2 linked regions of the Arabidopsis thaliana genome follow. The protein of the gene in region 1 interacts with the protein of each later gene in a pairwise test. Each region holds a gene or a part of one and is shown on either strand. Other genes may lie near its edges.

What was found. Proteins that work in one complex are often made in the same cells at the same time.
Region 2: the proteins of AT1G05805 (region 1) and ERF2 interact in a two-hybrid assay, tested with the Arabidopsis thaliana proteins (one large-scale study listed by BioGRID).

What each region holds. Positions count from the first base shown.
Region 1 is NC_003070.9:1,741,692-1,747,419, forward strand, and holds the start of AT1G05805 (basic helix-loop-helix (bHLH) DNA-binding superfamily protein), read left to right. Parts: upstream 1-2,752; 5' UTR 2,753-3,151; coding exon 3,152-3,626; intron 3,627-4,518; coding exon 4,519-4,811; intron 4,812-5,069; coding exon 5,070-5,198; intron 5,199-5,344; coding exon 5,345-5,410; intron 5,411-5,501; coding exon 5,502-5,570; intron 5,571-5,679; coding exon 5,680-5,728. Other genes in the region: DGL (alpha/beta-Hydrolases superfamily protein), read left to right, coding at 1-928.
Region 2 is NC_003076.8:19,169,765-19,175,210, forward strand, and holds ERF2 (ethylene responsive element binding factor 2), read right to left. Parts: upstream 3,193-5,446; 5' UTR 2,991-3,192; coding exon 2,259-2,990; 3' UTR 1,879-2,258; downstream 1-1,878. Other genes in the region: AT5G47210 (Hyaluronan / mRNA binding family), read right to left, coding at 1-13, 114-255, 338-403, 499-817, 1,089-1,248.

The sequences.
Region 1 (5,728 bases):
AGACATCAACCTCAACCCTATCAAGAACGAGCCTAACCGTGCACGTTGGATCGGTTATGTAGCGGTTTCTTCTGATGAATCGGTGAAACGTTTGGGAAGGAGGGATATTTTGGTGACGTTTCGTGGCACTGTCACCAACCATGAGTGGTTAGCTAACCTAAAGAGCTCTTTGACTCCGGCTAGGCTTGATCCTCATAACCCTCGTCCTGATGTCAAGGTCGAATCCGGGTTCTTAGGTTTATACACATCCGGTGAGAGCGAGAGCAAATTCGGGCTAGAAAGCTGCCGTGAGCAGCTTCTCTCCGAGATCTCGAGGCTTATGAACAAGCACAAAGGCGAGGAAATAAGCATAACACTTGCGGGACATAGTATGGGGAGTTCTCTAGCTCAGCTTCTAGCTTACGACATAGCGGAACTCGGTATGAACCAGAGAAGGGACGAAAAACCTGTTCCGGTGACCGTGTTTTCGTTTGCTGGTCCTAGAGTTGGTAACTTGGGGTTCAAAAAACGGTGTGAGGAGCTAGGAGTTAAAGTCTTGAGGATCACGAATGTAAACGATCCGATCACCAAACTTCCAGGTTTCTTATTTAATGAGAATTTCAGATCTTTAGGTGGTGTTTACGAGCTTCCTTGGAGCTGTTCTTGCTACACTCACGTGGGAGTCGAACTCACCCTCGATTTCTTCGATGTTCAAAACATTTCTTGTGTCCATGACCTCGAGACTTACATCACTCTAGTAAACCGTCCGAGATGCTCGAAATTGGCGGTTAATGAAGACAATTTTGGCGGCGAGTTTTTGAACAGAACAAGTGAACTGATGTTCAGTAAGGGACGACGTCAAGCGTTGCATTTTACAAACGCAGCGACCAATGCGGCATATCTACTTTGTTCTATATCCAACCATATGTTGTATTATAATATATTTTAGGTCTAGATTGATCCAAGCTAAAATTTTGGATTCTTTTTTAAGATAGGACAAAATAATTATTGCCCTATCTTTTACGTAGCATAAGAAATGTACATATATAGATGTATATGCAAAACCTAATACAAAAAAGTATATTTTCCACATCCAAGATAAATTATTGCGTCTCATCTATCACAATGTGAACAAAAATAATTATTTTCTTCTCTTAGTTACTATGAGTTCACAATATAATACTTTTCTTTAGGTTAAAGCTCTCAACTGTTGATGAAGTACAAGAACTCAAAATTGTGAATGAAAAAAAGGGACATCATCCAATATCAGGCGTGTACATATTAGCATTGTTGTGTATCTTTTTATATTATAGTCCATTAGTCCTAATCGATAGATGTATTTTTTTTTGTTTTATTAGTTATAAAAACAGACATCTATTATTAATTTGTTATGGTTAATTGGTTATTGTATATTATTATAGTAGAAGTGACGTGAGGTACCAACGTATTAGATTATAAATATAAATAATGGCCAAAGACAAAGCCATTTGTCAAAACTTCAACGTCATTATAACCTGTAAGATTAAAAATGAACAATAAGAAATCATATTTAGCAAAAAAAAAAAAAAAAAACAATAAGAATCATTTGTCAAATCTTCAACATCGTTACAGTGTATAATTTATATTTTGATTTTTTGTTCTAAATGATCAAAGTTCATATATAAAGTTATTTATATGCTCAAATTTAATCATCGAATATATATACAATTTGTCTATGTTATTTGTCAAAGACAACGTCAGCAATAGTTCCATATACTCTCTTTTTCTTTCGGAGTCTTTATATTACTCACGGAGATATTAAATTATATTTATTTTTTCACTGAGATATTTTTTTTTTTTTGGTTTAATGTTAATAAACTCACTGAGATATTAATTAATACATGCAATCTTTATCTATATTTCCCATTTTTATTTGTAAATGTGTCCCTTCTCGTGTTATGCGAGGGTCTTTTTTTAACTTTTTAATTTCTCATTTGGAAGCTTTCATCTATAAATATATGCACTAGCTTATTCTATATATAACATAAAACCGAAAAAAGGTTTTGTTCACGATGTGGATTCTCTGTTCACGAGAGGTTTTGTTGAAAAAGAAAGAAAGAAAATAATTCAACTTGAATTTGGAAGTTTGGTTACAGATCACATCATTCGACAATAAAAATAAAGACATATATAACAATTAGAACAGTAACTAATTTGAATTTCAGCTTCGATTTCTTACGAATCACATGGGGTCAATAAGGGTGGGGCTAGAAAAACACGTACGTTTGGAGACCAATGTGTGTATCATTCCTGCATGCGCATCAGATGTGTTTCACTCTTCAGAAAAACGTTTATTTTATTTTGCATGTCACAGTCGTAGCTAATTATCCGTACGCATCTTAATTACGACTCCATTTTACACACCAATTTATGGATATATAATTCAGACAAGATGAGTTCTCGTTTAATTTTACTTCTTTCCATTTGTGGAAGTTCATATACTATTGTGAAAATTTGAAAATAACTGGTGAAAGAGGAAACGTCCATATTTGTGGGCTCTATTTATAATAATAACAACAATATTAATTGTTTAGGTAAAAATTAACAGAACTATTTTGAATTACAATCGGAAAAAGGTTTGCGTCAAAAAAGTATTGATGAACCATGCATTTGATATAAGCATTTATGTTTGTTCAATTTACTATTAAGCAATTAAGTCGAATTTTATCGAATCATTTTAATTTTTACCTTTAACATTTCTGTGATCTTGAAATCTTTAAATTAACAATGTGAGTTATATACACTAGAGAAAAATAATTGCATTCCACTGAAAACCTCAACATCTTGGGAAATTTAAACTTAATCAAAGACATCGCAAATGTTGCTTATCTTTTTATCAAGCCCAGCCCACATATTCGCGGCCCCAAAGCCCAAAGGTTAAGCTGACTCGTTACAAAATAAATAAGTATTAATAAAGGTTTTTGATTGGCTTATTTCGGTTTAAATTTAATACCATATCTTTCGGAAGATCACGTGAGACACATGTGACATCCAACGAATAGCCAATCGCTGAAAAGTGAAGACTTTTTGTTACCCCATAAACAAAAGCATCATCTCTCTCTCATCTTTTATTTTTCTTTTAGAAACCAAACTTTTCAGATTTCTCTCTCTCCATTTGGCGATAGAAGAAGTCATGTACCAATCATCATCCTCCACGTCATCATCATCGCAGAGATCATCGCTTCCCGGCGGCGGAGGACTGATCCGTTACGGCTCAGCTCCGGGATCGTTTCTAAACTCTGTGGTTGACGAAGTCATCGGAGGAGGCTCATCAAACGCTCGTGACTTCACCGGCTATCAACCGTCGTCGGATAACTTCATCGGTAACTTTTTCACCGGAGCTGCTGACTCATCCTCGCTGAGATCCGATTCGACGACTTGTGGAGTCAACAACTCATCCGACGGACAGAAACAGCTAGGCAATAACAATAATAATAATAGTAATAAAGATATCTTCCTCGACAGATCCTACGGTGGATTCAACGAGATCTCGCAACAACACAAGAGCAACGACATCGGAGGAGGAAACAGCTCAGGATCTTACTCTCTCGCTAGACAACGTAGCTCTCCCGCCGATTTCTTCACCTACCTCGCCTCAGATAAAAACAGTTAGTCCTTTTTTTACTCAAGAATAGTAACTGTGATGAGATATATATATTTAGACAGACAAGTTTACTCATTTTCAGACCATTTTTCCTTAGAATTTGCCAAAAATCGTAATGTAGAATATGAGCTATATAGTTTTCAGTCATTCAATCATTCATTGCTCAACTAAAGATCCGTTTTTTGGTGAAATGAAAATCTAACCACGAGGGTATTTTCGGTATTTCTCACTGTGAAGTATCTAGTTTCTTACAAGTTAATTAACGACTATGTATATAAAATAAGTTGACATTGTGAGCTTTGATATTTAGGGTCGTTGCTAAATTAGCTTGGTTGGTACTTGTGCAAGACGTGATCCTCGTATTTTCGGAATGACGAAAATACCATTTGATCCCTAACCACGTGCTTGAAAATACAGCAAAAATGTGGCTCGGTTACCCTTAATTTGGGATATTATTTAAATCTTCGAGGATTCCTATATCTCAAGTTGCATTTATTTATTTAGAGGATGGATTTTTTCGTTGATGACCAATAGTTTCTCTGCTGAGATGGCGAAATATCATTGGTTGTGATGAAGATTATTCAAATAGAAAGCGATGTAGATCTAGTTGGTGGATCTGATCTGTCCACTTTTATATTATTTTTTCCTTGGTCCTGATGATTCGTGCTTTGCTTCGTTGTTATCTAATCATAATATCTTCCACCAAGCCTGGATGTGACTTCCCACACCTAACCGGTCACCGGCCTGAACCGGAATTCAACTATCCATATTATCCAAAAATCCCTCTTTATTTACTTACATTATATGGTTTCTAATATTTTGGATGTGAATGTGAATTATTTTTAAAAATAATTTTCACGTAATGTCATTATAATATAGTTTACTTTGTAAATCAGATTTCTCGTTGAACCAACCAACCAGTGATTATAGTCCGCAAGGAGGGTCTAATGGGGGACGAGGACATTCCAGATTGAAGTCTCAGCTAAGCTTCACGAATCACGACTCTCTGGCTCGGATCAACGAGGTCAATGAGACCCCAGTCCACGACGGTTCAGGCCATTCGTTTTCTGCGGCTAGCTTTGGTGCAGCCACTACTGATTCTTGGGATGACGGTTCCGGTTCGATAGGGTTTACCGTGACTAGGCCCAGTAAACGATCCAAGGACATGGACTCTGGTCTCTTTTCGCAGGTACAATTTATTTGTTTCCATGTGGGATTCCTTTTTTTTTTTCTTCATGTGTTATTACTATAAACATGCTACTTTAGTCAAATTATATGAAATTTCAAAATTTCTAGAAAAGGACAAAAAAATGTAAAATATTTGTTTTAGGATAGACATAAAAAAAAAAATTAACTAGTAAAGGTAAATGCAGCAAAACTCTTTAGTGGCCATACATTTTTGTTGGTGGCCAATTCTTACCGAATATTTTTATCACTGGTTTTGCAGTATAGTCTTCCTTCAGACACTTCAATGAACTACATGGATAACTTCATGCAGCTTCCAGAAGATTCTGTACCCTGCAAAATCCGGGCCAAACGCGGCTGCGCCACCCATCCTAGAAGCATCGCTGAGCGGGTCAGTTATAAACACTTTTTAATTTATTTAGCGATGGATAATTAATTCACTAAATTTAGCAACAAATTTGATCGTCCCTAATCATGTAGACCCTATTCTTTTTGCCATCCTCCTATCTTAACCTATACAATATGTTTATATTATAGGAGAGGAGAACGAGAATAAGTGGGAAGCTAAAGAAGCTACAAGATCTTGTCCCCAACATGGATAAGGTTACTTTATATCAAATATATATAGTATATATGGTAACATCATTTTGAAAAAGTGTTCATTACCTCACACACTTGTTGCTGATTTTCTTAGCAAACAAGCTATTCAGACATGCTGGATTTAGCTGTACAACACATCAAAGGCCTTCAGCATCAACTTCAGGTTCCCTTATCTTACTTTTTCTGTTTAGGTCAGCTGAATCCATTTCCAGAGTTCTCTCTAGTTCATGATCCATATTGATACATAAACACATTTTCATATACAAACGCAGAATTTGAAAAAAGATCAAGAGAATTGCACGTGTGGGTGCAGTGAGAAAC
Region 2 (5,446 bases), on another chromosome or scaffold:
CTAGAGTCATCTCCTATATGACAAAACCATATCAGTTCAAAATGTTAGCAAACATTCTACTTCAAACTTAACTAAACCTCAAAAGATGTTTCAAGAGCTGTAAATGATTGTACCCTGGCTTCAGCTTCTTCAGCTTCTTTCTGTGCTTTCTCTTCCGCAGTGAGTTCTTTCTTTGCTTCAGGGGTTTCATCCTCACCTCCTTGCTTCTCAGCAACAGGGCTCTTCTCAACCTCTGTGGTAGGTTCCTCAGACGTTCTAATATAAGAACAACAAAAGTTTATAAACAACCTAAAGTTAAAGTCATATGGATAATTAAAGTGAAGACAAGGATGCTTACGGAGGGATATCATCTTCAGTAGTGCCCCAGTTTCCACGACCTCCACCATTACGTTTCATGCCAGTACTATCAAACATCAAGTTAACATAAATGAATCACAAACAGAAGAAGTCAAACAAAGTAGTAACTAAAGTAGTGGACAGAACAAAAAGAAAGCTTACCCATGACCTGTCCTGCTATGGCGGTCATAATTCCTCGGTGGGCGTTCAACATCACCAGATTCCCCGTTGGCAACTCCACCACGGCGAGGTCCTTCACGACCACCGCCAACACGGTATCCACCAACAGACCCACCACGGCTTGCTCCATCAGCATCTTCAGAAGGTCTCCTGTATCCTCCAGAAAATCCATTCTCATTTCCAGGAGCATCATTGTTCCTGTTGTCCCGGTTGTATCCACCATTACCCCTGCCACGGGAAAATCCACCACGTCCACCAGTCCCACCACGACCTCCTTGAGGAGCATTCCTCGACTCCCTCACTACATTCATAACAAAAAGCTTTCAATATATATACTTATCCTAATCTAACAAAGTATTAAGCTTTACCCTAATCTAACAAAGCAGTAGAGAAACAAAATAAGATACGGAAGAAACTAACAAAGCAGCAAATGAAAAAAGCACACACATTTGACTATGGATCTTTCATGACAACCATAAACAAACTTCACTAGAACTAATCAATCAAACACTAGACAAAACACAGCTGAATCTAAATCTGTTAAGTATCAACATAAAGGAAAGAACTTTTACCTGCTTGAGAAGGAGGAGCCGGCTTGGTTGGGAACTTAGCGGCCTTAGGAGGCTGAACAGCAGCAGCAGCTTTCTCGACTTTCTGAGACAAAGCCACAGCGAGCTGGCTTGGATCCTCAGCATCATCTCCTAGAAGATCGAAAGGGTTCAAAGACGCCATCACCAGTCTGGTAAGATCGAGTTAGGTACAAGTCACAGGAGAAATTGGTTTACTTTGATGGGTTTATAGAGAGGGAAATCAGTAATTCATGGCGATATACAGAATCAGAAAAAAGAGGTACTTGAAGAGAGATTATTCGGACAGAGCTGTTTGTGTTTAAGAGATAGCGAAACAAGAACCCTAAGAAAAGATGCGGCAGTGAGAGAGAGAGGTGCGACTTAAAAACCTAATCTATAAACCCTTCCTGAGTTATTATTCTCTGCGGCGGGTGCTATTTAACTGTGTTCTGGTCCTCTCTTTATCTATCCGTGGGCTACAAACTGGTTAAGCCCATTAACAATAATAAATATCAGCTCTCGTTGGTTAAAGCCCATTAATGAAAAGAATATTCGTTCTTAGTCCATTAAGAGAATAACTGGGTTTCAATACTGAATCCTCTAGGCGAGACACGGTTTTTCTCATTCTAAACCTTTATTGGGTTCAAAGTTTTATGTGCTTCAAAAATCAAAGATATAAATTGATTGCTTAAATGAATTTTCTCTAGCAGAGCCTTTGCTTGTCGACCTTAGACAGCTTCATCTTCTCAAGAGTATCAAACAGAAACATTTACAAGTGATTACACACTTAAGCTCACAACATTTACAACAAAAAAAAATCTAAAATAGATAGGTTATTATTTATTGTCGCGCTACTGTTGATGGATTTTGGTTTTAGTAATTGTTACCTCTTCGATCAAGTTTTGGCTACTTAGCAATATAGAACTCAAATTGAGTTAAGAGATTGTATTAGGGGATATGGTGTAATACTTTAATAAAGCCGTGAATGTCATGTAAGAAATGAAACTAGATTGAAAAATTAACACTCACGGCTTTATTAAAGTGTCTATTTTGTTTATGGATTGAAGATATATGGCTCTGTTTAGTAACTAATTTACATCACGGGAACACTTTTACTTGGTGCCTCAACATTTATAGCAAAACTATTCAACTACAAAACACACAAGATCAAACTTATGAAACCAATAACTCATCAACACGTGTCTCATCACCAACCTCACACTTCACCTGCACCACCTCCGACGTCAGATTCTCTGCTTTTCTCCTTCGTTTCAACTTCCCGTTTTCAGACGACGACGTAGAAGAGGACGACGACGACGACGACGAAGAAGATCTCTTAGACGTGATCCGAACCGGGTCAGGTTCACCGGAATTAACCCTCAACGGAAAATTCAATAAAGCGCGGGAACCACGCATCCTAAAAGCAGCTATATCGTAAGCTAAAGCCGCATCTTCCGCCGTCTCAAACGTCCCTAACCAAACCCTAGCTCCATTCTTCGCCGGATCACGTATCTCCGCCGCGAATTTCCCCCACGGTCTCTGCCTCACTCCTCTGTAATGCTTCGCCTTCACTGCCGTCTCCGTAACCGGTATCGCTTTCTTTGGTTTCTCCTCCATCGCCGTAAAGTTCTCAGTTGGCTCGACTTTAACCGCCGGAAAATCAAAAAGACAGCTCAAGTCCGATGATGACGTGTCAAAATGGAAGGCATCTTTGAGGAGTCCGTACACCAACATGTCCTCTGAATCATTCTCTTTCAATGGCAAACCTCCCCAACTCTCTGTGAAACACGAACTCGGTGTTGACTCATTGAGTCGCAGCTCGTTCTCTCCTCCTCCTCCTAGCAAGTGACGTGTTATCGACTCCAACAAAGCGTAGTCGGATTCTATATTGCACTGTCCGTACATTTTCAGAGAAACTAACTATAGAGTTTTTTTTGTTTTGTTGATTGATTTATCAAATATCTGAACTTTTTTCTATGTGGAAGGTGGTTAAGAGGTTTATATAGAGGGTACGAGGTTCACGAACCTGGAAAAAAAGAAAAAGTTTTTCATGTTTTTCCAAATTTGTTTTAGTTTAGTGGGTAATTAAAAAATATGAAAGTTGTGGATTTTTCGTTACTACGAAGGTTCGTGAATTAAACACGTGCGCTTTATCCACAGATATCACAATGAAGAAGGGTCAAGATGACGTCATGTGGTCATGACATTTCTGGAAGAAAGATGCTGATTTGGTTTTGTCTCTCAACTTGTCCCTTGTTTTGTCGTTCGGTTTTGAATACGATTCCCGGTTTTATTAGGCAAAACTAGTGTTTAATTAGTTTGTTAATCGAAAACCAAGGTCTTAATTCATTATACTTTGTTATATCGACATAAATTTTCAACTAAACTTATATTTCATCGCCTTACACTAGAGTAATAATTTTTGCTTAAGTATACTTTATTAGATAGTATTGGCAAGTATATTATATGTTTAATTACATGAAATCTAAGCTTAGATCTTGTTATGGTGGTGAATGAAAAATCTTAACGAGGTGGGCCATAATTATATGAATGGGGACACTGAAAGTGTCTGCAAAAATCGGGATACATTTCTCCTGGTCACCAACCAATTCATATCATCATCTTTCCCTTTCACCTTTCATTTTTACTAATTTCTAATTTAGAATTTTCCTAATTGCCAATGTCATGTTTATTTTAGTACTTTTTGATACAAGATTTCATGATTAAGAAATTCATTAGTGCCACTTTAGTCAATAAATATGGAGTAGTGAAATCATAGTGATAAAGTTTTCATGCAAAGCTCAATTTACAAACCACAGTTTAATCCATATTTGTTGCATTTCTTTTCTTTCTTTTTTGAAAATATAACAGCCTTAGATCTTTTTGTACACCAATGATTTGGAATTTTGTGGATAATTATTGAATTTCCATCTCTTTCTATTGGCTAAAAGTCAATAACAACAATAAGGCTCAAAGACAAATTAATGGTGGGTCTCTCACGTATGTCCACTTGCAAAAGGGACCTCCTTCACGGAAGCATAGTTTAGTCAATAGTCACTCAAACTCTCTAAAAATTAGTTTACTATATATTTTTAATCTATATTCGATTCCAAGAGTAGTTTTGGTTCAAACACATCATTCTGGTCAGATGGTTATTTCAATTTTGCTGTTTTTGAGTGTATATATGATGTTATGTTTGTAAACAAATGAAACTTTTAATTGATTACAAGAACATGAATAGCTCTAAATATGATTAAAAACGAATTTATTTATTTCTTTGGTAAAAGAATAATGATAATATACTTATGGATCCAATCAGGTTAAGTTCCGTTTTGCAATTAAATACTTTGATTAATTAAATATGAAAGTAGTAGTTGAACTTTCGTTTTTATGTTTGAACTCCGCAGCTAATCCTCAAATTATCTCTTTGGACGTTTCACATACATCCACTTTTGCTGTATCTTAGGAATATATTGTTTTCATATTGTTTCTTGTTTCTTTATGATTTGGGTTTATATAATTTTCAAATGTCATGATGATCATCATTTAATCTTAGTTGTTTTAGTCACATCTTATTATGCTTATTATTAGTCGGTGATAGTTTAATTTTAAGACGTAAATCATCTATTCTCATATTATGCTAGAACAAACTTTTTCTTTGTGCAACCTCCTAGAACATATAGTCGCCTATTATCCATGGATCCCAGATACTCCTCCAAGACCACCGAAAGGTTTAATTATGGATAGGAACCCTTTGGTCTACGTTAACACCTTGATTGACTTCCAGACGAAGAGGTGGAAAGTAGATCGTCTACGGGAGTTGTTCCCCCCCCCCCCCCCCCGAGGATATTACTTTGATTTTAGGGATAAAACCGAGGCTAAATGTCTCGCGAGATGGATATAGTTGGACATTGACTAAGTTCGGTAATTATACTGTCAAGACAAGATATGAAGCTGCGAGAGCCCTCTCTCGCCCGTCTTGCGACCACCCTCTTCAGGGACCTAGTGTTACGGCACTAAAGGCGCAAGCGTGGAAATTAAAAACTACACGAAAGCTAAAGCATTTTGTGTAGCAATGTGTGTCAGAGTGTTTAGCAACTTGTCAACGCCTATATTTTCGCCATATTGGTAGAGATAAAAAATGTCCTAGATGTGGGGCGGATGAAGAAACCATCAATCATTTAATATTTGAATGTCCCCCGGCAAGACAAGTCTGGGCGCTATCCGGTATTCCCTCCTCTCCATCTAGGTTTCTTTCGTCTTCTATATACAATAATCTCGATTATCTGTATTGGAGAGCGAATGAGATTGGAGCTTGTGAGGAGAGCTTACGGGTCTTTCCATGGATAATGTGGTATATT